Struthio camelus: one gene and its partners. The main gene of each other region encodes a partner of the protein of the gene in region 2 in a complex. Links are inferred from orthologs where the notes say so. Each region holds a gene or a part of one and is shown on either strand. Other genes may lie near its edges. The genes, in order: CFTR, YWHAG, CAMKK2 and CASP2.

Evidence for each region.
Region 1: the proteins of YWHAG (region 2) and CFTR are in contact, whole or in part, in a crystal structure (PDB 5D3E), measured with the Homo sapiens proteins. The link is inferred for Struthio camelus from reciprocal best matches to the Homo sapiens genes YWHAG and CFTR. Residues at the interface, in NP_036611.2 of Homo sapiens: Lys50, Arg57, Arg61, Lys125, Arg132, Tyr133, Leu177, Asn178, Val181, Glu185, Ile222, Leu225, Asn229, Leu232; in NP_000483.3 of Homo sapiens: Arg766, Gln767, Ser768, Val769, Leu770.
Region 3: the proteins of YWHAG (region 2) and CAMKK2 are in contact, whole or in part, in a crystal structure (PDB 6Y6B), measured with the Homo sapiens proteins. The link is inferred for Struthio camelus from reciprocal best matches to the Homo sapiens genes YWHAG and CAMKK2. Residues at the interface, in NP_036611.2 of Homo sapiens: Ser46, Val47, Lys50, Asn51, Arg57, Arg132, Tyr133, Gly174, Leu177, Asn178, Val181, Glu185, Ile222, Leu225, Asn229, Trp233; in NP_001257414.1 of Homo sapiens: Leu99, Ser100, Leu101, Gln102, Glu103, Arg104.
Region 4: the proteins of YWHAG (region 2) and CASP2 are in contact, whole or in part, in a crystal structure (PDB 6S9K), measured with the Homo sapiens proteins. The link is inferred for Struthio camelus from reciprocal best matches to the Homo sapiens genes YWHAG and CASP2. Residues at the interface, in NP_036611.2 of Homo sapiens: Glu15, Asn43, Val47, Arg57, Arg61, Lys125, Arg132, Tyr133, Pro170, Gly174, Leu177, Asn178, Val181, Glu185, Glu213, Asp214, Lys217, Asp218, Leu221, Ile222, Leu225, Asn229, Leu232, Trp233; in NP_116764.2 of Homo sapiens: Asp137, Leu138, Ser139, Leu140, Pro141, Phe142, Pro143, Val144, Cys145, Glu146, Leu150, Lys152, Lys153, Leu154, Ser157.

What each region holds. Positions count from the first base shown.
Region 1 is NC_090942.1:28,687,577-28,694,719, forward strand, and holds the start of CFTR (cystic fibrosis transmembrane conductance regulator), read right to left. Parts: upstream 3,014-7,143; 5' UTR 2,836-3,013; coding exon 2,783-2,835; intron 1-2,782. UniProt on the Homo sapiens protein: Epithelial ion channel that plays an important role in the regulation of epithelial ion and water transport and fluid homeostasis. Mediates the transport of chloride ions across the cell membrane.
Region 2 is NC_090957.1:14,518,684-14,526,588, reverse strand, and holds the start of YWHAG (14-3-3 protein gamma), read right to left. Parts: upstream 3,014-7,905; 5' UTR 2,845-3,013; coding exon 2,758-2,844; intron 1-2,757. UniProt on the Homo sapiens protein: Adapter protein implicated in the regulation of a large spectrum of both general and specialized signaling pathways. Binds to a large number of partners, usually by recognition of a phosphoserine or phosphothreonine motif.
Region 3 is NC_090958.1:17,347,023-17,354,905, forward strand, and holds the start of CAMKK2 (calcium/calmodulin-dependent protein kinase kinase 2), read right to left. Parts: upstream 3,014-7,883; 5' UTR 2,891-3,013; intron 2,761-2,890; 5' UTR 2,664-2,760; coding exon 2,391-2,663; intron 2,026-2,390; coding exon 1,978-2,025; intron 1,666-1,977; coding exon 1,612-1,665; intron 1,518-1,611; coding exon 1,466-1,517; intron 1,199-1,465; coding exon 1,065-1,198; intron 529-1,064; coding exon 492-528; intron 177-491; coding exon 155-176; intron 1-154. UniProt on the Homo sapiens protein: Calcium/calmodulin-dependent protein kinase belonging to a proposed calcium-triggered signaling cascade involved in a number of cellular processes. Isoform 1, isoform 2 and isoform 3 phosphorylate CAMK1 and CAMK4. Isoform 3 phosphorylates CAMK1D.
Region 4 is NC_090942.1:90,151,054-90,158,207, reverse strand, and holds the start of CASP2 (caspase-2), read right to left. Parts: upstream 3,015-7,154; 5' UTR 2,862-3,014; coding exon 2,845-2,861; intron 2,622-2,844; coding exon 2,471-2,621; intron 1-2,470. Other genes in the region: TMEM139 (transmembrane protein 139), read right to left, coding at 5,421-5,829. UniProt on the Homo sapiens protein: Is a regulator of the cascade of caspases responsible for apoptosis execution. Might function by either activating some proteins required for cell death or inactivating proteins necessary for cell survival.

The DNA of each region.
Region 1 (7,143 bases), on a different chromosome or scaffold from region 2:
AGAAGCCCCATTCTGCATTTTAATATGTTCAAACATATCCCTAGCCTGAACAGGACATAGGATGAAGCAAGAGATCCTTGCCAATGGGCTTACAGATACTATTATCAGGGAGCTGATAACAGCTTGTGCAATATTAAATAATAATATTACATTTATCAGCAAGACTTTCCTGAAAAATAGTATTTTATTCTTTAGTGATACTTCCACTATAGTAACTTTCAACTTACTGCACTATATTCAGGTTTGTACTTTACAAATAGTTCCATAGCAACTACTAAAAAAGTTATTTCACTGAAGAAGTCCTCAGTGTTGCACTTGAAAACAACTATTTAATCATTATTGGAAAAAGTAATATCTTTTTTCCAGACATAACTTTTTCTTTTTTTTAAGAACTGACTACCTCTTTCTGATAGAATGCTCATGACTTCTGTATCTCACACAGTTTAATGGAACTAAAGCTCATGCTTAAATGTGGGCATGTCCTGAAGTGCTTTGCTAAATATGATCAGTTTCAGAAACCAAGGACATGTGTAGGTTCAGTTAGAACACTAACAAAATAATCTGACATTTCACAAAACCTTGATCCAATCTAATTCATTAACCACAATTTCGTGGATGTTTCCAGCTGACAGAACAGGTCTCTTTAGTTAGTGATACATAAGTAAATTCTTCTGACTTTATAAAGCTCATCACAAATAATATATTTTTAAGTTTTGTAAAATCCTCATACTTGATAAATGTTTGCTCTGTTATAATTTACCTTCTAATAATTTTTAACATTGATCCTGATATTAATTTGATGAGATGGAAATTCTGAGTCAGTGAGGAATGAATGCAAATATTTTAAAACACGCTCATATGTTTCACAGCTACAAATAATTCATTTTTCCAAAGAGTTTTTTTTAAGAGAAAGACATTCTTGATGCAAATTGGGATGTAATATTTTTTATCTTGTGGTTTTCACTTTTGTGATCTTTGCAAATATTTCATATAATAATTCTGAACAGAGATATTTTACCAATATACATGGTAAAATGCAAGTAAATTTTATAATTCACAGAAGCATATCATGTTGGATTCTTTATAGAAGTCTATATATAATTTTGTCTATTCTTACCCAGTGAACTGAATGCTTACTTTAATAGCTTGTTTCTTCTTTGAAGCAATATTATCATAAAGTTTTGCACAGAAACTCTTCTGTTCTAGTCAATATTCACCATAAATATCTCTTTTCTTGATATATTTATTATCATAATATTATCATAAGACAGTATAATATCACACATCACGCATGATACGCATGATTCAAACCTCACTTAATTGACATAAAGACTCAGACTCAAGGTTAATGAGCATGAGTTGCATCTGCTTTTGGACATGGGAATTTTAATTAAGGTAAGAATCAGCAATATATTTTATTGGGAATTTTGCCTGACATCTTTAGCATCACAAGTTCTAGGACAGCATGCTGCTATAAGCTGCAAAATAAATAAAATGAAATCGAACAAATGATTCCACGAGCAACAAAGTTAATATGTTGCCTTATTTCCTACAGATTTGAATCTTACACTTGACTGGAGCACCAACTGAAGCTTTTCTATGGAGAATTTATAAGGGCTCACTCCCACTAATCCACACTCTCTGGGTCTAAGAGCATTTGAGTACAGGTACAGCTTCTTTCACATTGCAGCATCTGTAGAGGACACTGACAGGAGTCTCCTTCAGCTGGGCATTTCACAAAACTTGAGAAACTGGTTGTGTTTGGGATCCTTCACAGCTATCTCATCTGGCTGAAATGAACGGTCAAAGGAATCAAAGGGGAGCAGGCAAGCAAACAGAATAATTCATAAAGAGCCACTTCTTAAGAAACTAAGAAAAAAAAAGTCCAAATCTATGCCAATCTGCTGAAAAGGGAAGTTATCCCAAAAGCTTTAGAAAGTGAGTTAAAAGCCCTCAGTTAGTATCTCAGCCAAGAACCTCGTGCCAATGTTATGGTTTTCTATCACGTGTCCTCACTTCAGTCACCATGGCCATGTTTCATGTAAGATTTCCTCCCTCCCTTAGGTGTTGCATGAAAGACCCTCACGTAACAAAAGGGGAAGCCGGCTCCCTTGGAAAACAGCAAAACTGACACATGGGTCAGAAAGATCATTTGTTCCTTCCAGCTGGTAGTGTTATTTCCAACAATATCATGTAAAACATTTTCAGGCTTCTGAATTGTCTTATGAACTGTGTGGTGCACAGGCATTGGGGTATTGGCTCCTTCTCCTCTTTTTCTTGAAGTTGCAAGAAAGAAAAGATGCCAGGGACTTTACTCGTAAGGGAACACTTTCAAGGCTTACAAGGAACTATTTCCAGTAAGATCCTGTATTACATTCATATTGAACTGAAAAAAAATGGAAAGTCAAGGAGAAGGAACCCTTGCTTTCAGATCATTCACCCCCCCCCCCCGCCCCGTGATCTCACAGCTTGTAGTGAAATAACAAATTAAGTAGTTGAGCAATTTACCAAAGGTTGCTCAAATTGTGTCATAAATCAATTTGTCTAGGACCACTGACGGTTTATGACACCAAATAGATAGAGACCATTCCTAGTGCTAAAAACTAGAGGGAGAAAAAAAAGCCAGATAAGATCACATCACTTTTCGACAAGCAAGGCTCCCACTGCTCTCTTTGCAAACTGCTCTGGGGCTCCTTGGCGCCTAGCGAGCCCTCCGCCGGGCCAGGCAGCCCTGCGCCCGCGCCGCCCTCCCGGCCCGCACGTGCTCCGCCGAGGCTCCTACCTGAAGAAAAGTTTGGAGAAGATGTTCGCCTTCTCCAGGGGGGACCTCTGCATGGTGCCCGGGGCTGCCTCGGGGAGGCGCGGCGCGGCGCGGGGCTGGGCTGGGCTGGGCGCGGGGAACTGCCGGCCGCCGCTAATTGCTCACGCCTCGCTCGCTCCGCTCCCGCGGCTCTCCCACCTTATCCGCTCGGGCCGCTCTGATGTCATTGCCTGCCTCCTTCCCCTGCCCCTCTCCCCGCCTCTGCTTTGCCCAGGTTCAAAAGCAGGAGGGCTCGGGAGCCGGCCCGCGCACCACCGCCTCCTCCTCCGCCTCCTCCTTCCCAACCCCCCCGCCGCGCCCGGCACCCGCTGCCCGCCGCGCCGCGCACCCGGGCGCGCCCCGCGGCTCCCGGAGCTCCCCACTGTGCACGCACACACACACACACACACACACTCCTCCCCCGGCTCCTCGCTGGGTTTCGCGCTAGCCCATTAACTCTTCCTACCAACGCGGCTTGGCTGGGCCTCGCACACCCTGCGCTCCGGCGCCCTGCCAGCAGTCACTAACGCAGAGTCCCGCAGGACTGGCGGGGAGCCGGGCTGCGAGCCCCCTCCAGCCCGACCTCCCTCGCCCTTCAAGGAGGCGAATCGCCTTTCTAAACTGTGCCTTCTTCCTTTGCACCGGGGGCAGCGGGGAGCGGGCAGCGAGGAGACACCCCCCCCGAGCCCCCCAGGGGGACACGCTGCCCCCGCGCGCGCACCGTTGCCCGCCGCAGACCCAACCCGGAGCTCCCGAGCCACCTGCTTGCAAACCCGCAGCGAAACCTGCCGGTCCGCGAGAGGCGCGGGGGCGCCCTCTAAGACCGAAGGGAGCCTAAGCCTGGTTTAACGGGGTTTAACTTCTGTGCATGCCCAAAGCCCGAGTTATCCCACCGTTAGCGCCAGTATGGGGGAGAAACCCAACACAATCCCGCCTGAGGCTCCCCAGGACCCCTGTGCGAGGTCCTGCAAGACAGCTCTTAAAGGAGCGCCCTGGGCCATCGCGATGGCAGAGAGGGCGTGAGGGGCCCCATTCACGTGCGCCGCGCTGCTGGCCAACGCCGTCGCTGTGAAATGACTGAAACAAGCAATAGACAGCGGACAGGGAGCTCAGATAAGAATAAATGAGAACAGTGCGCACAACAACATTCACTTTAAAATACAGTTGCTGCAATTTTTCAAGTTTTCTCATAGGCACGACAACTTGAACGTAGAGGAATGGGAATTGAAGGTATATCCTCATAAAATTTAGCCCAAACACCGACGTTTAATAACAAAGCTGCTTCTGGAATTATGCGTGTAGTGTACAAACAAAATCCCTGCTTTCAAAGAGCATGCAGTAGAAAGCATGCTTAAAATAAAATAAAGATGACAATAAGCAGGAATAAGTTCTTCTGATCGTTTTAGTTCTGTATATAACTTACTCCTGTTTCATTTAACATTTTAATACGATATTTACACAGTTGCCTTTTACCTCTGTAATTAAAAAAGTATTAATGGAAAAGGTCATGCTTTCCTAAGCATACAACCGTTTCTGTCCACACTGGTTCTTTAAACGGGCAAACGTGATTCTTATGGTCTCAGAGCTTATGCTACGATTTAACTAGCTGTCACTCTTTGCAATCTTTGCGGCTATCTCTTCTTTTATTTCACATCACTGCTTCTCACTAGACCCCTCAGCGCCTTCATACAGAACTTCTCTTCGCCTTACAGTTTTTCCTCGCAGGCCGTGGGGAGCTCCTAGGTGCCCCCTCGCACCGCTCCGGCGGTGCTCAGCGGCGGAGGCGCGCGGCTCCGCAGCGGGAGCCGAGCGGCGCCGCAGCGGGAGCTCTCCGGCATCCTGCCACCTAGCGGAGCCCGCCGCGCGGCCCGGGAGCCACGGGGCCCCGGCGGCACGGGCGCGGGGCTGCCGCACCGCAGCACCCCCGCCGCAGCGAACAGGGGAGCAGGCGGACGCTGCACCTCGAGGAGTTTGGCACCGGGCTCTAAGCTACTCGAAGGTACCTGCTCCCTTTCATATTTAAAGGTATGGATTTTCTCCTCGATTAAGCGGTGACAAATGGCAATCTAACTCCTCTGTATCCACTATGCTCAGTGACTAGCATACTCAACCAGAAAAGAGCGATTAGGATTCGAATCCCCCCTTTGCCTGACTTAAGGCAAGGCTGTGAATCCACATTTTTCCACCTCTCAAGGAAATTCCCCACTGGGCCCTAACACACAGATGATCGAAGTGGATCTCTTTCTCTGAAATTCTTTCACTGTTACAAAATAGTTAAATGCCAATTTAAAGACAGGCTGGAAAACAAGTCTTTTGAGCAACATAGAACTAGCCTGCTACAGACTCTTTCCCTTTCTAGCCCTTAGGTTTCTGGTGTGTTCAGATAAGGCAGAAACTGAGCAGGGGATTAGAAGGTTTTTTGTATTTTACATTAGAAAGTGAGGTATGTTAGCCATTTAAAACCTTTTGTGGATCAAGTCCAAATTGCTTAAAGTGTCAATGGCTAATGGAGTATTTTCCATAAAAGTCCTTGCTGCTATTATCACCAGAGCTGACTTAGGAGCATTTCCAGTAAATTTGGGACTAACAAAGATATCCCAGTAGTTATTGTTGATTTTTTAGCTCCAAATTCCACTGCCCTTCATATGTCAAGTTCTCTAAATCCCTAATTTTGAACATTTCTTCTCTAAACTTAAGACTATTTGACTAGTTTCTTAACTACCAGTTATCGCTATTTCAGCACCACCAAACCCCCAGGAGTGATTAGTTCCCTGCTCTCTGATCTGATAGTTTTGTATAGAACTCATGTGCTTCCATCTCACCTCACACAGTCACAAACTCTTAACTAGTTGTGCTTTTCAAATTTTCCACAAATAATTTCCTTGCCCTTTTTTTTTTCCCCCGAACTGAACATTCTGTAGTTTCAGAACAGCCATTATTCCTAATCTTCTCTGGGAGCTTGAACATATTCCAGCTGACATGAATGAGAAACTTGTCATTAGCATTTCTATGCGCAAGAATAAACCATGATATTTCTATTGTCTCTAGGGGCTGAAATACATCCAAATTTAGTATTATCTATGAATGTAATTAATGTGATCTTCCTTCACTTCCACAGAAATGCAATCTGATATGACAACAGCTACTTTATCCTTTAATTGTATCCACATCCACCATCTATCTGATTTTACTTCGAATTTTTGAAAAAAATGGAGTGAGCCTGTTGCAGAGTGAGGTGGCATGTGAACAGGAGAACAGGCAAAGCCTTATTTCCTTTGCCATCACTGCAGTAACTTTGGCTGCCATACTGCATCATTGCAGAAGTGCAATGATACCCCAGCCAAGTGAGAAACAACCTGCGGTAGGGAGTCTGAAGCCGCAGACATAGGAAACGGATCAGCTGCTCAGTTGCTGCCATGTTCACAGAAACTCAGAAGTGAGTTACACCTGGAGGCTGTACCGGCCTCTGTCCTGCCTTTGGTTACATGTTCCTATTCCCCTCCAGGACTACTGGACTGCATGTAAAGCAGTCAAGGTTCTGGTCTAACTGAAAACTCTACCATAGAGTGATTCATTTTCAGCAGGATCAGCACCCTGAACTAACTAGGAAGATAACTTACTCGGCACTACTGCCAAGATAAGTAAGAGTACAAACATACGTCAAGGGGCAAGAGAGGAGGAAGGCAAGGCAGGGGTAAGATCGACTTTAGCTGCCATGGAGTCACAAACTGAGTTTTCTAAGTAAAGCAGCACACTAGGGGTTTGGGGTTTTTTGATTTTTACCCAGCTGCTGATTTGCAAGTGTGGAGGAAAGTAATTCTATTTAAATACTTGATCCATTAGCCAACATCAGTGGACAAAGGGACAGAAAAGTCGTTAGTGGAAAGAGAAAGTATGACCACATAAGCATCATCATAGAAAACAAAAGCTAAGCAGCTGCCAAAAGTAACATTTACAGTCACTGATTTTTTGTTGCTGCTTAAAATGAAATAGGTTTTCTGCTCATTAGTCTCATAACTCTGATCTTCTGAAAAAATCCCTTAAAACATCCTTGGAGAAAAAATGGTTCTCTGGATAGGATAGGGAAAAAGAAAATAGGGATCAAGGTGACGTTTATTTTCTTTGATGGCTGAAGCAATCATATATAAAAATCAATTTCACTCTAACTCAACCCTCAAATATTTCAGAACCTTTAGTTAACTGGAAACTATTTTTAGTTGTAATGTTTCGTTCAACCCAAAAGCAATTCAATGTTTTTTCAGATTTTTTCTATAACAGTGTAGGACTTGATCCACAAACCTAGTGGTCTTCCCCTCAACCTTTTCTATGCTCAGCTGGAATCT
Region 2 (7,905 bases):
TGTACCAGTGCATATGACATCACTAGCGTTGCTACGGAAATGAGTGCGAGGTCACAAGCCTCCTGCACAACTGGAATTGGGGGATGGGCAGTACAGAGGACAGTATCAGGAATAACTAAGTGTGACATGCCCATTACCGTGGGACTGAGCCAGAGTTTGAGTGGCATTCTGCAGAAATTAAGAACAAAGCTCTGCCTTTTGTTTGCTGTAGCAAGAGGCACTAGCACTCCCACTGTGAATCATTTTCTTATGGCTAAACTACATGAAAACTGATAAGCAGCATTAGCCTAGGTTACTCTTTCACTAGGAGCAGTAAGGACAAAAAAGAAAAAAAAAGAGTATATACAGTCTAACGACAACTTTGGTTTAAATACAGATCCACCGTAAGTAGGCTATGGAAATTCACATAACAGAAATATTGCAACGAGACTGTGTGTTAAGTCCTCAGGCATATCACTGTCGGCTTTGTCATAACGGCTATATTCTCCATATGAAATAACATGTGGCATCTGCACACATTGCAAGCCTTACTTTAAAATGAATGGATGCTGTTCTGTTATCAGCAAACAGTATAAAATCCATAGTGCAGCAGAGGAGTAGCCCAATTGTTTTAATATGATATTATCTTGTTCCAATTATCCATATTTCATTCCTTGATAAGACATCTCCTCCCTCCCCGTTCTCAGGCTGTGACAGTTTTGTCTGTTTGATAAATGCAAGGTTATTGATAAAATGGTGCAATATAGGCAAACGGAGCTGCATCCAAGACAGACTGCGACATTCCTAGATCAGCATTCACTTTTCATCAGCAAGGGAGGACACCCCAGCTCCTCTTAAAGGTTCAGACCTGACTAAGAAGACAAACATAAAGAACAGTTTTCCCCTTTAAAGCACCCCCTCCCTCCCTCCACCCAGTCTAGCCTCTCTGCAATATGACAAATGCAGAATCTTCTGGAATGACTTGATCCTGCCTCCCACGATTGCTTTGTTTGCAAGATCAGATCAGAGATATGTTTTTTTACTTCTTATATTGTCAAAATGTCAGTATTGAAGAGGAACGTTCAGTGTCACAAATCAGATCAGCCTGCTATATGCAGAGTCTTTATTTTAAGAGCGTGAAATGAATACAACATGACTCAATTCATAAATCTCGGAACAAGTGCAGTAAAAATAAGAGCTTTGGCAGCTAAAGGCTCAGATCTTTGGGGTCACAAGCATACAAGCCTCGCAGACCCGCGCACGGGAAGGGATGTATGGGAGCGACGGGGTGGCATTTCAGCAGCGGCTGCGGGGAGAGACGTGCTCGCAAATCCTTCCACAGGGTTTCCTGCAGGCTCACCCCAAGGGGCTGAAAGCCCCTAAGCAGGTTTGGTGTGACCCTGCAGGGAGCGCAGCAGGAAGCACCGTGCCTCAAGGGCGGCTCCTCTGCCCTCTGAGCAGGGACAGGGCGGGGGGACCCCTGGGGCAGGAGCAAGGACAAGGGACAGAGGCACAGTGGAGGATGCCCGTAGGGGGCCTTAGGGCAGGGAAGAAAACAAGGGGCAGGGCAGAGGATGCATGGGGCAGGGTGGGGGGCCTTAAGGCAGGGGAAAGGATGGTAGCACGACAGAGAACAGAGGGGGCAGGGCAGGTGGGCCTTAGAGTAGGGAAGAGGACAAGGGATAGGGGCACAGCAAAGGATGCACGGGGACCATAGGGCAAAGGAGAAGACAAGACACAGGGCAGGGCAAGGGGGGGCATGGGGGCCGCAGGGCAAGGGAGAGGATCAGGGATGAGGTATCACAAAGGATGCAGTGGGGCTGTGAGGCGGAAAAGGATGAGGCACAGCAAAGGACAGGCAGGGTCAGGGCTGTAGCACAGAGGAGAGGGCAAGGGATGGGGTACAGCAAAGGATGCAGCAGGGCTGTGGGGCAAAGGAGAGGATCAGGGACAGGGCACGGCAGAGGATGCATGGGAGCCGTGGGGCAAAGGAGAGGACAGAGGAAGGGGCACGGCAGAAGGATGCATGGGGCAAAGGAGAGGACGAGCAGGGGGGGACACGGCAGAGGATGCACGGGGGCCGTGGGGCAAAGGAGAGGACAGAGGAAGGGGCACGGCAGAGGATGCACGGGGGCCGTGGGGCAAAGGAGAGGACGAACAAGGAGGGGCACGGCAGAGGATGCACGGGGGCCGTGGGGCAAAGGAGAGGACGAACAAGGAGGGGCACGGCAGAGGATGCACGGGGGCCGTGGGGCAAAGGAGAGGCCAGAGGAGGGGGGGCACGGCAGAGGATGCACGGGGGCCGTGGGGCAAAGGAGAGGCCAGAGGAGGAGGGGCACGGCAGAGGATGCACGGGGGCCGTGGGGCAAAGGAGAGGCCAGAGGAGGGGGGCACGGCAAAGGATGCACGGGGGCCGTGGGGCAAAGGAGAGGCTTAGGGACGGGGCGCAGCGGAGGCCGGGCAGCCTGGGGGGTCCGAGGACGGGGTAGAGGCCCCGGGACGGGACAGGGCAGCGGACGCAGGGGCAGGGCGGCAGGTGCCCGGGGCCGGGGCGGCGGCAGCGCAACGAGGCCCGGAGCGGGGCGTCCCGCACCCACATCGGCCCCCCCACGGCGCGCCAGCCCCATACGGCCGTGGGGGGGGGTCCCGCTGCCTCACACTGCGGGACCCTCGGGGAGGGGGGCGGGAAGGGCCGGGAGGAGGCAGGCGGGCGGGCGGCGCGCACCCCCTGCCCTCGCCCAGCTCCCGGCGGGGGGGGGGGGAGGACGGGACACTCACGTTCTTCATGGCGGCCGCCATGTCGTCGTAGCGCTCGGCTTGCTCGGCCAGCCGGGCCTTCTGCACCAGCTGCTCGCGGTCCACCATCTTCGCGGGGCCGGGGGAAGGGCGCGGAGGCTGCGGGCGGCGGCGGTTGGGCGGCGGCGGTGGCGGTTGGGCGGCGGCGGCGGCTCCTGGCGCTGACGCTGCTGCGGCGGCGGCGGCGGCGGCTGCACCCGGCTGCTGTGCGCGCGCCGCGGGCCACCACAACCCCCCTGCGGCCCCGCCCCGCCCCGCGCGCCGCGTCACCCGCGCCCCGCCCCCGCCAACCGCCGCCCGCCAACCGCCGCCGCCCAGCTGCCCCCCGCCGCCGCCGCCGGCCGCGCGCGCGCGCGCGCGCGTGCGCGCGGGGCGCGCCGGGAGTTGTAGTCCGCCAGCCCCCCGCCCCCGCGCCCCCCGCCCCGCCCAGAGACTCCATTTCCCGGCGCGCCGCGCGCCTGCCCCGCATCGCCCTCCTCGCCCCCCCCCCCCGCCCCGCCGACAAAATGGCTCCCCCTTCCCTGGTGAAGGGGCGGTCACCGTGCCCGTCGGTGGGCTCCCCGCCCCCGCGGCGGGGGAAGCACGGCTGCCGCCGGCTCCCCGGTGCTGATTCACCGGGCGGTGCGCCCCGCTGGGGGAGGCGGGGGCCCCGAGCCTGCCCCCGCCCGGCCCGGGCCTTGCGTGGCGGCTGCCATCACACGGGCTCCGCAGGCGCTGGCCGCCTTCTCGCCGCGCCGCCGCCCCGCGGGCGAGGAGATGGCAGCAGCCGGGCTGCCCGGGCCCCAGCAGCCCCACTCGCTGGCGGGGGCGGCGGAAGGGGGTAGCCCCACGGCTGCGCCCAGAGCGTGCGTCCCCTCGCCTCAGCCGCGGCGTCCCTCCGCCTGCAGCGACTGCAGAGGGCGCCGGGCCCCTCGCGCAGGGAGCGGGCCCTTGCCAAGGGTCGGGCCTGGCTGCCCGCGTAACCTTCAGTGGGTCACTTAGCAGCTTTGGGGCTTCCCTGATGCTCGGGGTGTTACCGTGAGACACCTTGTCTTTGGGGCTCTAAGTTACTCTCTGTTTCCATGAAGAATTTTGACAGAGCCTCAGCCTGAGTTCAGAGATTGTTTGTTTCTAGCCCATTTGGCTCTAGAGCCAAAAACATAAAACCAGACCTCTCAGGAGTCTAAAATCTTAAGGCAAGCCAAAGAGGCTTGGACTTTAATGTCATGACCTTCAAGCCAACTTCAGTATTTTTGCTGCCTGACTCATGATTTCTGAGTCTGAGGAGTGTGCAATGCTGTCCAGTGCCATCTTTGAAAAGGAGCCGAGAGTCTCCATTAGCATCTGCAAATATCTGCTTGGAAGAGCACCACGTTATCAAACCGTGAAGAACTATTCCAGTTTGGAGGCTAGCCCCAGAAGGCGATGCCATGTGCATTAGTACATGTTGTCATGACAGTGCTGAGTCACCCTGTTGTGATACAGTCAGGGACAAACAACTAACACTCAGCTTTTATCTGGCCACAGGGCAGGGGTCTTTCCAAACAGACTGCAGAGGAGAGCAACCTTACTTAGGAATGACGCTGTAAAATTTATGAGCGGCCAGCTCACAAGTGTGTTACGCTAACTCATCAATAACTAATGAAATAAAAATGCATGTTCACTTGCCACCTAGAAGAGCTTCTACTGCACATTAGGAATTCCATTAGAAACCATAGAGATGCTTTTTTCCTAAAAAGCCTATACATAAAGCAATATTTAGAGGATGCTCCAGCATCGTGGAAAAGGAAACGAGTCTAATGAAAGGTGATGTGCTGCTCAAAATGGAAGTGCTTTATCCCTAATCAGATGGAGGCCAGACCGTGCTAATGTACCTCTTCTCCATTGGTGAGTGCCGTCCTGCCTCGAACATGGTGGGTGTGCTCCCAGGGCATGCTCTGCCCATCCCTCGGCCTTTCTGGTACGCCTGCTGGCGTGTGGATGGTTTGGGAGATGTATCTGCAATTTAGGTTGAAGCAGGAACGGTGGTCCGGCCTGCTGACTCTTGCTGTCAGGCTTGCTGAGCCCCTTGTTCTGTGAATTGCTTTTGAACCTTCGTAGGAACCCTTCCTGACACCGGGTGTATATATGGTGCTGGCTTTCACAGGGGCAGTATCACGGCCCCAGCCTATTGTGGCTATTTAAAATCTGTGGAGAAGGTGTCAACCAAATGGGTGGAGACAAATTGAGTTTGGAAATGATGAGAATACTTTATGAGAGCAGGCAACACAATTTTTGAATAAGATCTCCCTCTTTATTGTGCTTTTAGCACTCTTACATTGCTTTACAGGTAACAAATAACGGTAATGAATGGACTGGTTTTCCTTAAACAAAATACTTATTTGTTTATAGCCTTTGAGACTAGAAGCTATCAGGCCTTCTCATAAATAGTTCCTGAAAACTAGAAATATGTCCAGATCATATCTATTCCCTGTGTAAAATAAAACACTGTCTAACATGTTCCTTCTTTTCCACCCTCCTTCCTTCGTGCACGTTCTTGCTCGACTGCCCAATTCATGTTGTAAGACTTGGGCGAGCTCACATAGGTTTCTAACAAAGTGAATATTAAACCTTCAGCTTCACCCTATGGCTTTTTCCCATACGCTGTGTAAGGCATGAGCACGTTTGAAAGGTCCAGTTCTAGACATTTGTAACAAGGCCTGCCACGTGAGCCATCTTGCCAGGGCTGCGGAGATATGTTGTGGTATGCCTTTTCCCCTCTCACACACCTTCACAGAGGTATTTTCTCTCGCTGACCTCCTCAGCACGTAGCTCAGTATTTTCGCAAGCCGTTTCCTTTTGCCCATATGGGTAGTCTGACACCTGGCCTCCCCAGTGGATGGCACACAGCTCTTCCCAGTCTCAGCTTGGCCAATTTGGGACTGATCATGACCTTTTAAAGAGAAAGTGCAAGTTGTCCTGTTGCGACAGCCTGGTTGGGCCCAAGCGCACATCAGGACTCCTGAGTCAATTGCCGTAAATATGCCTCTAAAAGCACTGAAGTGTTCCTGCGCCTCGGACTCGGCTCCTTCCTGGCCACCCCGGGTATCTGGCCTCACACCCCGCTGCACATGTGATTCTCAGATGTGAAAACACCCATTGTCCCGTGCTTTTGTTTACCATGACAGCTACCCTAAGGATAGTGCCCTGTAGACAACAGCAGTTTATTCCTCTTTTACGATAATGGTGCATTCATTCTTCTGACAAGGTTCGCAATCTCTGGAGAGCTCAGTAACAGTTTGTGTGTTGTTTTTACTATGCTCCTGATGATGCCAGCTTGGGGGATAAAATTTGAGCCAAAAAGTGCAGAACGCAAGAGAACATTAAAATACTTTGTGGGTCCCGGAATTAACGCTAGTGTTTCAGCTATGACTACTCTTTCTTATCAAGTCTGGAGCTACTTAGAAATGCCATAAGGCATCTGATCCCCTTTGCGCATAGTGCTGTACAAAGCTTATAAGAGAAAACCTTTGCCCAAAGACCCACGCTCTAACCTAAGAAAAAATGGCAACTCAAGCAGATGGATTTCCAGATAAAAGAGAAAGCTGGCAGCGAGAGAGCCCCTGATGAGGACACGTGTCCTCTACCTTGCGAGCAAACAGGACTGTCTGTGCGTGGGGGCCGGGTGGGGTTGGGCGCTGTTCCTGGAGGCCGAGGCTTTAAGGCTCTTTTGAATGATGCTTCCGTCTTTGGGGTGAATATGTCGTTCCTCTAACGTGCGAAAAATAATTCTTGGGTACAACTACTGGATTCTCACAGATAATATTTAACACAAGTCTAGACCTGAAGAAGAGCTTGTATGCCTGGAAGCTTGTGTATTTTTTCCAAATATATCAACTGGCCTAATAAAAAATAATGCCTCTCCATACAAACCTTATGACACTTATCTGGTAATTTACGTAAATATGGCAGATTCTCAGCTAGTCCAAATTATTGCAGCTCGGCCTATTTATGGTGTCTGTGTATTTGCCCCAGACTGAACAAATACTGATTTATACCTGTCGAAGCACCACAGCAATAAATAAATAGCACAACGCAGACAATTTCCTTCCCCATCACAGGTCAGAATGTAATATTCATAATGCTGTAAATTCTTCAGAATAGCGCTCTTGCTGTAATTTTTATTTGCACTGTATCCAGCCCCCTTTTTGGGCTCTGATACGTTAATCAGTCCTCATCACACCACTTTATTATTCTATTTTACAAACTGGGAAAGCGGTTTGGTGGAGGTTGCGTGGTGAACGGCTCCTGGTGAGCAGGGCACGCACCTGCGGGGCGCAGGTTTTCACTGCCGCGAAATCTGGACGCTCATCAATAAACGTCCTTCTGCCAGGTCTGCCTGTTGCATGTCCACACCTCGGCAAGAGCCCGGAGGGCTGCTCGTTTGGGGAGTCACAAAGACCCGAAGGATGTGGGTCTGTTTGGCAGATGTCCCTGAAAAACCTAATAACCCTTATTCCACCCACAGTATTAAAATAACCCTGGAGTGCTCAGATGTGCCACTCTGTTAATTCCTGTGGCCGAGAAGACGAGGCCTTCCCTTCGCGTTTTCTTGCCTTCCCTGTCAGCTGTTGTAAATGTTGGAAGATGGTAAATTCTCTTTGACTCGGAGGCTCGTTTCCTTTGCCTGCTTCCTACTCTGAAAATTTGTCCAGAAATCCTCGCTCCTCGCTTGCTGCGGGAAGGCGAGCGTGACGTTCGCGCCCCCCCTTTCCTCCGCGCTGGCTCGCTCGGCGCGACGGGGCTGCACGTCACCGCCGCCGCGCGCCCGGCCCCGCGCTGCGAGCTGCGCCGTCGTGTTCGGGCTGCCGAGGGATCGCCTCTCCCAAACCCAGCGGAAAACAGGCGGCGAAGAAGCAAACTGAAGAGCTGTTCTCTTCCTGCTGGCTAAGGGAACTGGCTCCCGCTTTGGAAATGCTTCGCGCGCACCGTACGGCTCGCAGTGGTGCAGCCCGGCTTGCTGGGGCAGCGCGACGCAGGGCCGGGCCCCCGCCGGGGCCGCGGGCACGCACCCCCGGGGCCGTCCCCGCTCAGCCGGAAGCCTCCCAGCAGCGCAGCACCGTAGCGAGGGTTTCTTACCCGCTGTCCCAGCACGCCTGCTCCCGTACGCGG
Region 3 (7,883 bases), on a different chromosome or scaffold from region 2:
GTAAGCCGGGTCTCGCGAGGAGCCGGCTCAGGCTGCGATTCCCGCGGGGTCGGGGACGACCCCTCCGGCACGAGAAGCTGCTCCGACGACGGAGACCTGCTACGGACAAACCTGTCCCGCTTTAGCGGGTTTGGGTCCCGACCTCGACACTTACCCTTGCTTCACCAGCTCAAACACTGAAACGCAAAGGAAAAGGCCATTAATTGCAGGTTAGAGCTCCTGCGAGCCGCGTCCCGGCGCGCGAGCACTCGTTTTTACGGCTGGGCACGCGAAATCCGGGGTGCTTCTGCCTCCGATTAAAAGAGCCACCCAGGAAGGCGGCCAGCGGAAGCAAGCTCAGCCTTTACAAGTCCGACGCGACTTAAACCACGCTTTGCCCGAAAACGCTGCTCGGCGCGGATTCCCGGCGAGCCGCCGCCGGCTCGGCGTTAAGCCGAGCGCTCGGCGCCGCGCTGGGAGGAGACGGCCCCCGGCCCCGGCGGCTCGCTTACCCATGTAGAGGTGGTCCTCGCCGGGGTCGTCCAGCACCTGCCCCAGCCGGCGGCGAGGGGGGAGAAAGCGAAAGGAGAGGTGACCGCCGGGCAAGAAAAGGCGCGACGGCGGCTAAGGGGTCCCGCGTCCTTCGCCGCGGCTGCCCGGGCAGCGCTCGCCCCCCTCCCCGCTTCGCCAGGGCCGGCGGCGAGAGGACGAGGAAGAGGAGGAAGAGACGGCACCGCCCGCCCTGGGCGCCCGAAAGCTCCCCCCAGCCCCGTTATCTCTCACGGCCCGGCCACGGGCGCCGCTTTACGGCCCGCCGCCCTCGTTCGCCTTCGGAAAGCCGGCTACCAACCTCTTAATTTCGTAATTAAACGGATGAGGATCCCCGGGGCTCTTCGTACCCGCCAGGCCTAACTAACGCGGGGGCGACCCCGCTCCTGTCGCCGCCGGCGAGCCCCCAGCGCTCTCTGCCTTCGGCAGGAGCCTCGGGAGCGTCGTTTCCTTCCCCAAAACTGACTCGCGTTTCCCGTTTCTTCCAAGGAGCCAGGACACCCCTGCAGCTCCCTGTCGGCGGAGCTGCGACTCACCTCCACCAGCTTCACCACGTTGGGGTGGTCCAGCTTTTTCAGGATGGCGATTTCTTGGTAGACCTGCTCGATGGGCCCTTTGGGCTGCACGCAGCCTTCGGAGGCGGCCTTGGCGCCCCGGGGAGGCGGGCGGCCTGGGGCAGAAGAGGCAACGGGAGGTTTTTTCCGGGCCGCGAGGACGCAGCGAGGGAGCAGAAGCCCCCCAGCTCCCCGGCCGGGGTGGGAAAGGGCCGAGGGCCGCTCCGCGTCCTGCCCACCGAGGGAAGGACCCGAATCCTCCTCGACGAGGGGAGGAAACGGCACCGGAAACAAATCCGAGTTCGGGCAGACCCGACGTCTTGGGGGGGGGGGGGGGGGAAGACGTCAAAACGGACGTCCCCGGCCTCCCGCGCGCCACTTACGGGGGAAGCCCGCCTGCCTCATCAGCTTCTTCTTGGAGAGGACCTTCATGGCCTGCAAGACAGCCCGCGGGCGGGTGAGGCCGGCTGGCGGCGGCGGGCCCCCCCCTCGCTCGGCGGGGCAAAGCCGCCGTCCCGGCCGTACTCACGTAGTAGGTGTTATCGTCCTCGTTGTAGGCCAGCTTCACGACGCCGTAGGAGCCCTGCGGGCAGAGACGCGAGCCGTGGGCCGCCGCCAGCGAGGGACGGGCCAAGGAGCCCCCGCCGGCCCCTCCGGGCGGCGGGTGACCCTGGGGGACACCACATCACCGCGCCGGGTCTGACGCTCCCCCCGCTCCCGGGGCAGGAGACGGCGGGGGGGGGGGGTTGGAAAAAAAAGGTTCGAACGCCCCATTTCATTAAAGGGAAGATGGAAGGGGAAAAAATATATATATAATAATAAATTTCAGGGGGTTGCACCCAAAGGGCCAAAGCACGCAGCACCCCCCCCCCCCCAAAATCCCGGCAATATTCACCTTGCCGATCTCGTCCTTCAGCTTGTACTGGTTGAGCTGCACGCAGTCCTGCCAAGGGAGCAAGGGCTGAGGCGGCCGCCGAGCCGCCGCCGCCGCCGTTTCCTCCCCTTCCCGCCCCGGGGAGGAGGCGGCGAGAGCGCGGCGAGCCAAACTAGCCAGCCACAAAGGGTTCGACCCTCCGGCGACAGCCCCGCGGCACGGCTAGTCGCTAGCGTTATTACAGTTCGGGCGGCGGGCGACCCACCTCCAGGCACCGCTCTACCCCCCCCCAAAAAAAAAAATTGAAACGCTGTGCAAAAAAATAAAACAACATAAAAAATGCAAAAAAAAAAAGCTAAAAGCCATCTTGCAAAAAGGAGGAGAGTGCGCGGGGGGGGGGGGGGGAAGCGGCGAGACCCCCCCCCCCCGCTCACCTGCGAGCCGGTGATGGAGACTCGGTTGGACTCCACGGTGGGCCGGCGGGGCAGGCGCGGCGAGGCGTGCGGGGACGTCACCGGCGAGTAGGGCAGCGACGGGTAGATGAAGCGCTCGGCGGCGGCGGCGGCCTCCTCGCCGGAGCTCGCGGGCTGCGAGCGCTCCTGCAGCGAGAGCTTGCGGCCGGCCAGGCCCGGCTTCGCCCGCGTCTCCTCCGGCCCCCGGCCGTCGGCGGCCCGGCACGGCGGCACCAGCACGCAGGACTCCTCCATGGCGGGGCGAAGGGGGCGTCACGGCGGGGGGAGCTGCCGGGCGCGGGCGACGGCACGGTGCGGGCGCCGGCCTCCTCCCCGCCGCCGCGCCATTTGGCTGCGAACAGCAGCGGCCCCCGCTGAGACCCGGCGAACTCGTGACAGCGATGCTCCCCCGACCTCCGGCCGGGGGAACCCAAATAACGCCCAGCGGCTCCTGCCGCGGGGGCAGCCGGGGACGCGCTTACCGGCAGGCGGGCGCCGGATCCGACCCCGCTTCAGTCGCTCCCGCCGCCCCGAGCCGCCGGCGAGGATTCACTGGGGCTCCCGTCGCCACCACCTCGGTCTAAATCCTCTTGCCGGACCTTGGCAGAAACGAGAAATCGAGTCTGTTAAGGAGGAAGAATAAAGGGGGGGGGGGGGAGGAAGAATAAAGGGGGGGGGAGGAAGAATAAAGGGGGGGGGAGGAAGAATAAAGGGGGGGGGAGGAAGAATAAAGGGGGGGGAGGAAGAATAAAGGGGGGGGAGGAAGAATAAAGGGGGGGGAGGAAGAATAAGGGGGGGAGGGAAGAATAAGGGGGGGGAAGGAAGAATAAGGGGGGGGAAGGAAGAATAAGGGGGGGGAAGGAAGAATAAGGGGGGGGAAGGAAGAATAAGGGGGGGGAAGGAAGAATAAGGGGGGGGGAAGGAAGAATAAGGGGGGGGGAAGGAAGAATAAGGGGGGGGGAAGGAAGAATAAGGGGGGGGGAAGGAAGAATAAGGGGGGGGGAAGGAAGAATAAGGGGGGGGGAAGGAAGAATAAGGGGGGGGGAAGGAAGAATAAGGGGGGGGGAAGGAAGAATAAGGGGGGGGGAAGGAAGAATAAGGGGGGGGGAAGGAAGAATAAGGGGGGGGGAAGGAAGAATAAGGGGGGGGAAGGAAGAATAAGGGGGGGGAAGGAAGAATAAGGGGGGGGAAGGAAGAATAAGGGGGGGGGAAGGAAGAATAAGGGGGGGGGAAGGAAGAATAAGGGGGGGGGAAGGAAGAATAAGGGGGGGAAGGAAGAATAAGGGGGGGGGAAGGAAGAATAAGGGGGGGGAAGGAAGAATAAGGGGGGGGAAGGAAGAATAAGGGGGGGAAGGAAAATAAGGGGGGGGAAGGAAGAATAAGGGGGGGGGAAGGAAGAATAAGGGGGGGGAAGGAAGAATAAGGGGGGGGAAGGAAGAATAAGGGGGGGAAGGAAGAATAAGGGGGGGGGAAGGAAGAATAAGGGGGGGGAAGGAAGAATAAGGGGGGGGAAGGAAGAATAAGGGGGGGGAGGCAGCGGGGCAGTCCCCGAGGGCCACCGGCCCCCCCCGCGTGCCCCCCCCGGCCCCCGTCTGCTTCCCCGAGGCTCAAACGCACCCGGTTTTATTTCTTAATTTCTAGGTTGACGAGGTGCCACAGAGCCAAACAAGCCCAAAAACCAAAAAAACCCCAGAAAATAACCAACCCCCCCCCCGACAACCGCGACGCCAGCCCGACACGGGCGGCCCCAGGAGCAGGGGTTCGCGGCGCTCCCGCGGCCCAGCAAGGCAGCGTTTAAATCCAGAGCCGCCCGCGCCGCCGCTCCCGATCAGCGGGGCAGAAACGACACGTCGAGGATTTAAAAAAAGAAAAAAAAAAGAGTAAAAAAAAAAAAAAAAAAGAAAGTAAAACAAGCCGGCGGAGCAGGTACCCGGCTGCTCCCGCGCCGCCGCCGGCCAAGTCTCACCCGAAGCTGCACGAGTCGGGACGGGACCCGCCGGCGGCCCCAAAACTCATCTCGGGGAAGGGGCCGGCCGCCAGCCCCCGTCCCCGTCCCGGGCGAGACGACCCCCCGGCCGCCCCGGGCACGGCCGGAGGCGCAGGCCGCTCTCCGCGGGCCCCGTAAACGGCGGCGGCGCGAACGGCACCAAAAAAGGAAGCGGCTTCGGGAGGCTAAAAAACCACCCCCGTCGCGCCGGGCGGAAAACCACCGCCGGCCCCAGAGCTTCGTCCGGCGCCCGGCGCGAGCAAACCACCCCGCCGAGCCGCCCGAGGCCTTCGCGCCCGGTTAATCGGCTCCACCGCCGCAAACGCGGCAAGGCCGGTTAACTCGAGCAGGCCTCCTGCGGCTCCCGACGGGCTAAAAGTCACCCGGGCGCCCGCCGGCGGCTCCGAACCGCGGAGCGGCTCCTCTCAAGCCGGCGCTGTCACACCCGGCCAAACCCACGCCAGGGTTTGGGGGGGGGGGGGTGTTGGGGCAGAGAACAGGGTTTGGCAGAAATCTCCCCCCCTCCTTTATTTTTATTTTATTATTATTATTTTTTATAGATACCGTCCCCAAGCGAAACCCCAAAGTTAGCTCCGGCCACGGAGGGCGGCCGCGGGGGGGGACCCGCCGGCCGCAGGAGGAGGAGGAGGACGACGACAGCGGTATCGTCAGGCAGAGGGCGAACCGCGAGAGCCGGCGGCGGCGCAACGCCTCCCACGGGGCGAAACGGAGCCCGAAACGGAGAGGAAGAAACACGCCGGGGGCCACGTTCCCGGCTGGATTTCGGCTGGGGGGCAACGCCGGCGACCGAGGCCCCGGCTCGGCGAGACGGGTTTCGCGCCCTCCCCGGCGCTCGGACCACGGCTCTCGCCCTAAAAAACAAGGGAGCCGGAAGAGACGGCCGGGACGTGCCGGAGGCCGGCCGGGACGCGGCTCTACGCCCGCGCCGAGGACGAGCGCGTTTCGTTACCGCTTATTGGTTACGGGCTCCCCGCTGGGCAGAGCCCGGCGCCGGTCCGCTTTCCGCGGTGCCATCGACCGCCCGCCGCCCCGCGGGCTCTGCCCGACCTTGCCAGAAACACGTCGGCCGCTGCAGCGCCCGCGCCTGACCGGCGGCGGGGAAAGAAAACACAATCTCTCTGCAAGCCGGAGGGCACCCGAAACAACGCGGCGTTGCAAAGGGCCGACGGCGCGCCGTGCCGCCCTCCCCGGCGGGCGGAAAAGCCATCCGGCCCGTCCGAAGCAAAACGGGAGGAATCAAAGGAAGGGAGAAAAAGCAACAAAACCCAAAGCCTGGCTGGGGGCACCCCGCCACCAGGAAAGGCGGCGGCAGACTCTGCGGCAGCCAGGCGGGGCGCGCGCCCCAGCGAAGCTCCAGGCCGCCGGCGGCTCGGCCGCCTGCCCCCGCGTCGCCTCCGCCGCGGCCGGCCCACAGACGCCCGGAGATGCTCCGGAGCGATGCCCGCCGCCGCCTCCGCAGCCCGAGGAGAGCGGCCCGGCGCGGCTCCGGCCGAGCGGCTCGTCGGGATCGCGCTGCCCCGAGCGCTTCGACGCGCGGTTCGCGCCCGGTTTGCGGCGCGTGCCGACGGGGCCGGTCGGGGGCAGAAACGCGGCCGGCAGGGCGGCGCCTTCGGGCCCCTGATGCCGCGAGCGCCTGGAAACCCTACAGCTGCCTGATATGAAACGAGTTTTGCAGTTCTCTGCGCGGAGCCTGCGAGCTTTAGGCGAAAGCCCCCAAAGGGACCCGCGAGGCTGGCGCGACGGGAGCTGGCGAGGCGGCGGCCGCGCAGGGAAGGACTGGACCCGGGCGAAGGCGTTGCTGCAGCTGACGGCCGCGAAACCCCCGAGCCCCCCAGCGGGTCGCCCCGGGGCCTCCGTCCCCGGGGCCGGTTTCGGCTCTTGGGGCACGAAACGGCCCCGCTGCCGCCACCGCTCCTCCTGCAGCACCTCCGTCGCCTCCCGCTTCCTCCGCACAGCTCCTTCTCCTTTTCCATAACCCCCGAGCGCCTCCGCAGCCTAATCCTCCCTCCCCGCCCCGAGGCGACGGTGAGGGGCTCGCGGCGGCCGCCCTCGGCCCACAGGAGGCCCCGCGCCGCTGCGGACCGCCACCCGCTCGCCGTGTCCCCGAGGCCCGGTGCCCCCTCCCCGAGGCCGCCTGCGCCCCGGGCGCCGCCGGGCACGTGCGGGGAAGCGGCGGCGGCCGCGGCGGCCCGACGGGCGGCAGGAGCCGCAGCGGGGCCGGGGCCCTTCCCTCCGCCAGCCGCGCTCCCCCCCCAAGCAGCTCTCGCCCGCACGGGAAAACGAAGCCACCGGCAACCGCCCCCCCTCCCCTCCCCCGGCCAAAACACCCGCTACCCGCAGCGCCGCGGAACCCACCGAACGCGTTATTTCAGGGAAACGCCGTTTCCTGCGAGCAGCGCGCTCGGGCCCGGCCCGGCCCGCGGCCCCGGGCGCAGCGCAGCGGCCGGGCCGAGCCGAGGCGGCGCCGCTTTGTCCCCGCCGGGGCCGCGCCGTCCCCGCGCCCCGGCCCCGCCCCGCCCGCCGCCGCCGCACCGACCTGGGCGCCGCCGCCGCCGGGGCCGCAGCCCCGGAGCCGCCCGCGGGGCCCGAGCGCGCCCGCCCGGCGCCGCCTTCGCTTTCGGTTCCGCTCCGGCGGCGGGAGGCGGTGGGGAGGAGGGGGGGAGATCCGGCCCCGCTCCGCTCCGCCCCGGGGAAGGGGAGGTTTCCCCGCGGGCAGCCGCATTCTCCCCCCCCCCTTTTCATTCACCCCCCCCTTTTTTTTTTTTTTTTTAACCTTTCCAGCCTCGATCCGCCCCAAAGCGCGGCTGCCCCCTTACCCGCCGCCGCCCTCCCCCGAAGGCAGCATCCGCGGCAGGAGCTCGACCCGGGCGGGCTGCGGTCCCCGGGCGGGCAGCGCCGCGGGTCGAGCCGCCGCCCGGCCCTTCCGAAACCCGGCTCTCGGGAAGGGCCGCCGCGGGCGGCCCCGGCCCCGGGCTCCCGCCGGCCGCCGCCCCTGCAGCTGCAGCCCCCGCTTGGCTCGTGCTAATTCCTCCTTTTTCCTCCTCAAGCGCGTTCCCGCTCGAGCACCCTCCTTGCACCGGGCTGAAACTGCCCTTTTCGAGGCAGCAGCTCCCGCCTGGAGCGGAGGCGGGCGCGGGAGCCGCGTACCTGCTTCCCTGCGAGCTTTACGGATAAACGCTCTTCACCGGGATCTTCGAAGCCACCCTAGGAATCAGTTTTGCCATACTGCAAATTATTAATGCGAATATGCTATTAAGGCAGCTGGCAGGTGCTCCAAGCGCTTTATGGAACTTGAACTTTTAAGTGCTTTCCTACTATCACTGGGGGCCTGATTAACGTAACAGACGGGGCAGGAGCCACCAGCATTCCCGTGAAGGGGTTACTTTTCTCTAACATTTGAAATACAGCTGTGGTTTTAAAAACCAAAGCACTGATTATCTGCCAAAAGCCACACTGCAACATTAATT
Region 4 (7,154 bases), on a different chromosome or scaffold from region 2:
CACTTTGTCAAAGCCACTGATCCCTCCATTGTCATCTACTAATCAACAGAGACCATTTAGATACCCCTATCCCCATGATCTACTAACCCACAATTACATTATAGAGGCTTCAAGTTGTTTGAAAAGGAAAACAAAACCCTTGCTACCATAACTGTTATTTTGAAGTCCTGTTCCAGAGCTCTAGAAGTACATCCGTCATCCTGACAAGAGGACACTCACGAAGTGGATTTTGGACTTCCATCTTAGAAATGGCTGTTTTCACTTTCACATTTTATTCTCACTTTTCACCTTTGCTTGGCCTTTGGGTTTGAAAACTCTCTTCTGGGCCCTCCTCTAGATAATTATTAGATTTACCTCATCTTCACTACATAGTAGACCTAAATTCTCTCTTTGTTCTTTTCAAAAAAGAATGTAATTGAATACATTCATTTTGTCTAGTATCTTTTAGGAAGCCTCCACTCAAATTCTTTCCTGCCAGTGCTTATTCTCTCTCCATTTCTTCTTTGGACGGCAAAGAAAGCTGCTTCTATTTATTAATTATTCCCAGTCTACACATATAAACTCTTTATTTACTCTTCACGTGCTTATCAGCGCTTCATCCAGTTCAATCACCTTCTCTTCATTTGCTCTTCCAACAATCTCCTCCCCTCCCACTTTTCTATTACTTCTAACACGGATTCAGGATTAGTTGGGCAGCCCACATTTGAAGATATTTCAGGCTTTCTTCAGCTCCCTGAGCTTCTCAGTTTATTTCACTTTCCTTAGGGTACTTCACTTAAAGAAGGTAGACTTTTATACACTGTTTCCAGAACCAATTTCTTTATTCTTCCATTTAATATAAATGGCAGCAACACAGGACCAGTATAACTGAAAGGTTTTTAAGACAAGATGATTTATAATATAATAAGTCATCCAGATCTTCTTCATTCCACCACTATTTGTTTGGAGGAAGGATACACAGAACCAGTCAGTTACAACATCTAGGAAAACCTATGCTCTGTTATCAAATACAGTGACATTTGTCTCTTCCTATTTCCACTAAGGTCCACCATTAGTGTCATGATACATTTTTCAAGAATGGTTCTCCTGAACGGTATCCCTAAGACCTTTATTCACATTTGACCCAGCGTGCAGGAGATTATAAGAAATTCACAGAACTACCCTAGAAAAATGAAAAAAGATAAGACAACTTGTTTTTGATTCAAGTGATCAATTTTATTCATGTTATTTCTTGCTTATTTGTTGTCTATTGCATTGTTATCATCAGTACTATCCTGCCACCTCTACCTTCATTTCTATCATTCTAGCGCAATGCACATTTTGCATTACTACTGTTCCAGTTGTCACTGTTCTCCTCCTTTTCTCCTGCCCCACCCCCCAACAAGCTTCTGTTATCTCTGTTACTTCCAGCTTCATATTCTTTATCAGCGGACTGAGTTATGCTATTTTCTTGCTCAGGCTGCTGTTGCTACTCACACATATTTAAGCTACTTCTTATGAGTATACATAGTATTATATGCAATTTGCCTATAAAGTTGTTCCACTTACCTGACTTCTCCACCATAACACCTTCTTCCTCTGTACTCTCTAAAGTATTGCTGCATCCCCTTTTACCTAACCATACCTGGAGGGCAGAATGCTCAGTCTTCTTCCTCTCTTTCTCAGTTTAAATCTTATTAACCACTGCAGCATTTTTCCCCAAATGACTGTTTCTTCCAGCACTGTCTCCTCTTCAAGAGGGTTTCTCTTTCAGTGACTGACTGCAGGCCAACAACTGAACATCCCTACAAACCAGCCATACGCCACCAGTTCTTGATTCATCCTCTGCTCTTCCAACATCTTCCTGTATCTTTGTCCTCTATCTCTAGGGATTGGAACTATTTCAGGGAAGACTGCCTTGGTAGATATCCTCAATGCGTCACAGGAGAAATTTTGTGCTATTTTTTTGACACAGAGTCAAAATTCATCCGGAAGTTATTTCCTCATTCCCTTCAGAAATTCTTCAAGCAATTTACAAAACATACATGAAATAAGTTCTTTCTATAAAAGTAGCTTAAGTGCCACAATAAGCTGGCTATAATATATTCATTTACTTTTTCTCACAAGATTCTTTTGGAAATAGATATTATTCCCACTTTTACAAATTGAAGAAAAAAAGAGGCACAAAACAACAACTAAGGACTGAAAGATACTACCTGACTCACCAAGTGCAGCCTCTCACAACTACAAACCCCCAAGCAGTTCAGTGATTCGGTAGATCTCAGACCATAACCATATTGCCAAGAGAGGCTTATGAACCTCCTACATGTTGTGAACACACCCCTTGCTGCTGTGCACATTCTCCAAATGTGATTAAATTAAAACACACAGGTAACACATACATGAGTTTTACCACATTACCACTTCCAAGAATGATGCTAAGCTTAACTAGGAATAGAACTAGCACGGCACCTGAGCATGACCTGTATACCTGTATCATTTCCATCATCTCAGTGGTGATGATGTCTTTCTCTATCATATGCTCCATCAATTCTTTTAAAACCAGCTGCTTCGCCAGCATCACCCGGTTCTTCTTTAGCGCTTCCTGGTGACACCTCTGCATGCCGCACGCTCCCAGCATCCTGGCAGAAGAGAGAAGACCAAAACCAAACTGAACCGCAAGGGCTACCCCATCCCGCCTAACTTTCCACTCAGGAGCGAAAAGCCCGGCTGCGTGTCGGGAGCACTGGAGGCGCCCGACAACGGGCAGAAAGAGGCCTCCACCGGCCGCACCGCGGGGATCGCCGCAGGGAACGGCGCGCCCCCCCGAGCCAGCTGCCGAGGCAGCATAGGCCCCGCACCCACCTCTCGCCGCGGCCCATATCAAACCACCTCGGCTCGGCTCGGCGCCGCGCCCCCAGGTACCGGCCGGGACAAACCGCCGGCGCCGCAAGCGCACGCACCAACCCCTCCCGCCACTCACCTCCCCGCGCGCGCGCGCGCCTTCCCTGCGGCCCCGGGGATTCAAACCGCCGGACCCGCTTCCTGACGTCACGTGGCCGCGGCGGGCGCCTGCGCTGCAGTCCCGCCCTTTGGCAAGCGCCAAACAAAACAAGCCTGAGCGGGGCTGCGTCCTTGTGCGCATGCGCCGGCGCGCCCGCCGCGCGCGAGGCGCTGAGGGGGGAGGGCGTGGCGGAGCGGCGAGTGTCGTGGCTGCTCCGGCCGCGGGATGGCGGCGGCCGTTGGGGGCGGGTCTGCCCGCTGCTCGCGGGCGCTTTGCCAACGCTCCCCAGGTGGGCGTCGCCTTGGCCTTCCCCACCTTTGTACTTTTGCACATCAGAAGATTAGGAGAAGGGATTCTGCATGCAAATAGAATTAACAGGTATGCTGCTTTGCAAACATACCACTTCTCTGATCTCTGTGTTTTTGGAGTTGTTGCATGCATGTTGGGCTGAAATCAGCTGAGATCAAAAAGGGGCTTCAGTGTTACTGAGTAAATAAGAGGAAGAAAGGGAGCATGCAGGACATGGTAGAGTACAGTTGAAAGAAAGAGAAAGCGAAAAGTGAGCAAGCATCCTTTTAGTGGAAAGAGATTTTTAGCTCTTGCCGTGTAAAGCTTCAGATTGTTGTTTCCTGGTGCGTGTCAAAATTTAACACAAGTTGAAAGGCTTAAATAACCCTCTCAGCTGCTGAAGACAAAATCCTAGCGATCATAACTGGAGACTTTTTTTGTCTTTCTTTTGGCTAGCTTTTATCTGTGCTGGTCACCCGTGTTTCTTCCTGACTCCTAGGAATTTGTTGCAGCCAGAAGGATCCTGGAATGCCCAACCTAGGCCATACATCTCTACTCCCTTGTGGTACACTGCCACTTCTGTTAGTTGTGATTTGTTCTCTTGAGTTAGGAAATAGCTACAGGAAATAGTTAGCCTTAAAAAATCACAATGTTTCTCCTGGCAGTTTTTTCTCTCATAATACTTGATTGATAGAAATATAGCTGCTTTGCCATTAATGTTACTAAAGCGATTCAGCTGTATATTTAGAAATAGAATTCCTCTGTTTTCTCTAAGCCAAGATATAAGCAGAAATAAGCAGAAATAAGCAGAATGCAAGCAGCCATTAGTCATGATTTTGTGGAGTGTTTCTGATAGGAGGAAAAACTGATGATACTATCAAATATTTTTAATATCCATCATTGATGGTTCTGTTTATTTATAACATACATACAAAGTTATTTCTCATTGTTTGATTCTTTATAGCTCAAAAGAAAATGATATATTTGATCCTAACCCATTTCTTTATGGTTCCTGGTATGCATTGAAAATGATCCTGGTACCTTCAGTAAGAATTTATGCTCTTTTGGATATTTGGATGTTCTGCTTGGGCTACTGAATGGCTGCACTTATGCACAGGCTTGTTGCTGTTCTCTCTTTCCTCATCTTTTTTTCACAGTACTCCAAGGCTGTGATGATTGCTGCTCTCTTTCATAAGGAAATTTCAACCTCCATATTTCATGTTTTTATTTGGACATTCACCAGACCTCAGTGTCTCTTTGCGTACTGCAGACCACTTCAACCCTAACACTTCAGAACCTAACAGTTTGACTCAGCTGTTTTAAAAGACAGGGTAGCATCACTAATCAGCGAGAGCTAGGACCCGGCTTCAGACCAGAGCCGTCATGACAAAGATCACGTATGTTTCATGACTGATATTCCCAGATATCTCTGCTGCAGTCTCAACTTGGTCTTGGAAGAGGGACTGGGCCTTTCTAAACAAAAACATCCATGCACAGGGTTGTTACTGAGAACTTGGAAACATTGACATTTCTATGCAAAAACAGCAGCCGTGATGACAATAAAGTATCTAGAGTGATCTGCGATGTAGAGAGAAATTTGTAGAATATTTGTATTGTACAATAGAGAAATACTTTCTCCTGTAAAACTGGGAAGATTGGTGGTCCAGGCAGTGGGTATGTGTATGTGTCCCACTGTTGGCCTCTCCTACATGAGAGAAACTGCTATTATCTTCCTCTTACTTATTGCTATTTCTGTTCCTCCCCTTTCCAAGCCAGCTTATCCTGGCTGCATCCCACAGTTGTTCTTCAGCAGTCCTTTGGTGACCTTGTCTCTTCCCATGATTCACTCACCTCTTCCAAAAAGGTGTATCCCCAGGCTCCGAATTGCTTCTGTATATTACACGGCTTTTTTCCTAGTGGTCTTCCATATCTTCTGCCAGGACAAAGCACTGTGGTATTGTCATGAGCATGCACGAAGATCCCAGTGAAATCAGAAGCTATGTCTGTAGTTCAGCTCTGGTTCAAAGAATGGCAAGACAGACTTCTACTGATTCAGGCATGAAAAAGACTCATCTCCTTCTCCTTCCCTCCAGGTGCAGCCTGCATTGGGGTGAGGGGTTGGTCCTGCATTCATAGAAGGTGGAATTAATCATAATATTGAGGGTTGGAAAGCATGTTCAAAGACCTCATCGTTGACTGCATTCTCATAAGCAGGTGGTGGAGTGAGCGGCTCCAGTGGCTCAAACCTGTCTTCAATACCTTTCACTTCATGGATGTCTGAAACAAACCGCTGCAACCTGGGGGGCTGCACCAGCTGCAAGTGCATCCGGGAGCCTGTGTCTGTCTCGGAGGTGCACCTTATGTTTGGTGGCACTGAGACCCTGAGAGTCTCTACCACAGTCTCTCCTCGGGCAGATGATTCAATAACTACATTGTAAGGGGGAGGCTCATTCAGTGGTGAGGGCACGGTGCCCGGATTGGATGCAATTGTCCATATTGCTGGAGCTGACATAGTCATCACCTCCTCATAGGTAGGTGCTTCATAGGCAGCGTTCACCCTGTGCACAAGAGAGAGGAATACCAGTTAAACTGGTTACTTTATTGTTTATTTTATGCAGAGGCAGGCAGTCTAGATAACGTAAAGTAGGGACTATGCTACAAACAACAGATAATTGACTTGTTATCTCATGTGTTCTGGTGTATGATATTCTGCCATTGGATCAGCTCAGTGGTCCAGCCAACTTAAAGTCTTGCCTCCTATTCTAGAGAATGGCTTATGTGACTTTATTTTTCTACACTTAGAGTAAGTAATAACCCAGACTGTTCAATCCAGTGTCCTAGGCTTAGCTTAATATTCCCTCATTTAAAATCTGCCACCAGTTAAAATTTATTAGTAAGAACTACTAAGTGCTATTTCTGAGAGGAAAAACAGGATTTTCCTTTTCTGTCTCTATTTTAATATATTAGACCAACATTCATCTATTTTTAGGAATATAAGTGGAGAAAAAAAAGTATTTTCATTTAGTTTAAACAAAACTTTCCATTCTGTGCTAAAAAGAACATCTACAGAGAAGAATATTACTTTAGAGACATTTTCCCTTTTAGGTCATATTTTTGAATAAATGAATACTAGTTTTCTTCTAGTACACCCCAAAACTAGCAAAATGCACTATGAAGCTTCTTTTTATGTATTATTTCTAACAGTAAAGACGTGGAAACATTTTTGGCCTCATACAAAAACTTGTATCTGAGAATGCTGAGCAGTTTAAGGGTGTGGAAAATGATATATTATACAGACAGGCAAGCAAAGAGGCAAATAAAGTTAAATTCTTTAACTACAGTAGGCAAATTGAGGTTAAATTAGATGGTACTGAGTACCTGAAAACAGTGATGAAGCCAAAAGAATTCGGGAGTGTTCAGTGCCTCTCAAAATCAGGACCTATTAGTGTCAAGTTGGATTTTTAAGAATGGAACCACACCTGGTTACAGGTTCCTTTGTAAAAGTTTGCCAAGGAGCAGTTGCTTTGGGAATAAGGTTATAAAACTAAACCAGCTAACTAAACCACCTCAGCATTTTTTCCTTTTTCCTTGTCTGACTCATTGTTGAGCAAGACTCACTTACTCAAGGGAAGATAAAGCAGGGCTGGATCTGTTTAGTCTTAGAAATAGTCTATGAATCAATTCCCAAGGGGAAGAAAACTTAGATTGGACAAGATATAGGAGATCTGTGACATAGACACTTGCAAGCTCTACCTGGATAATGAAGAAAAACACCCTAAAATGAACTTCTCTACCCTAAAATGGAGTTTGTGTTTGGTTCCCTGGGGAAAAGGCAGCAAAACAGTATGTAAAACGGTCTTATCTAAGGAGAGAAAGTTAAAGA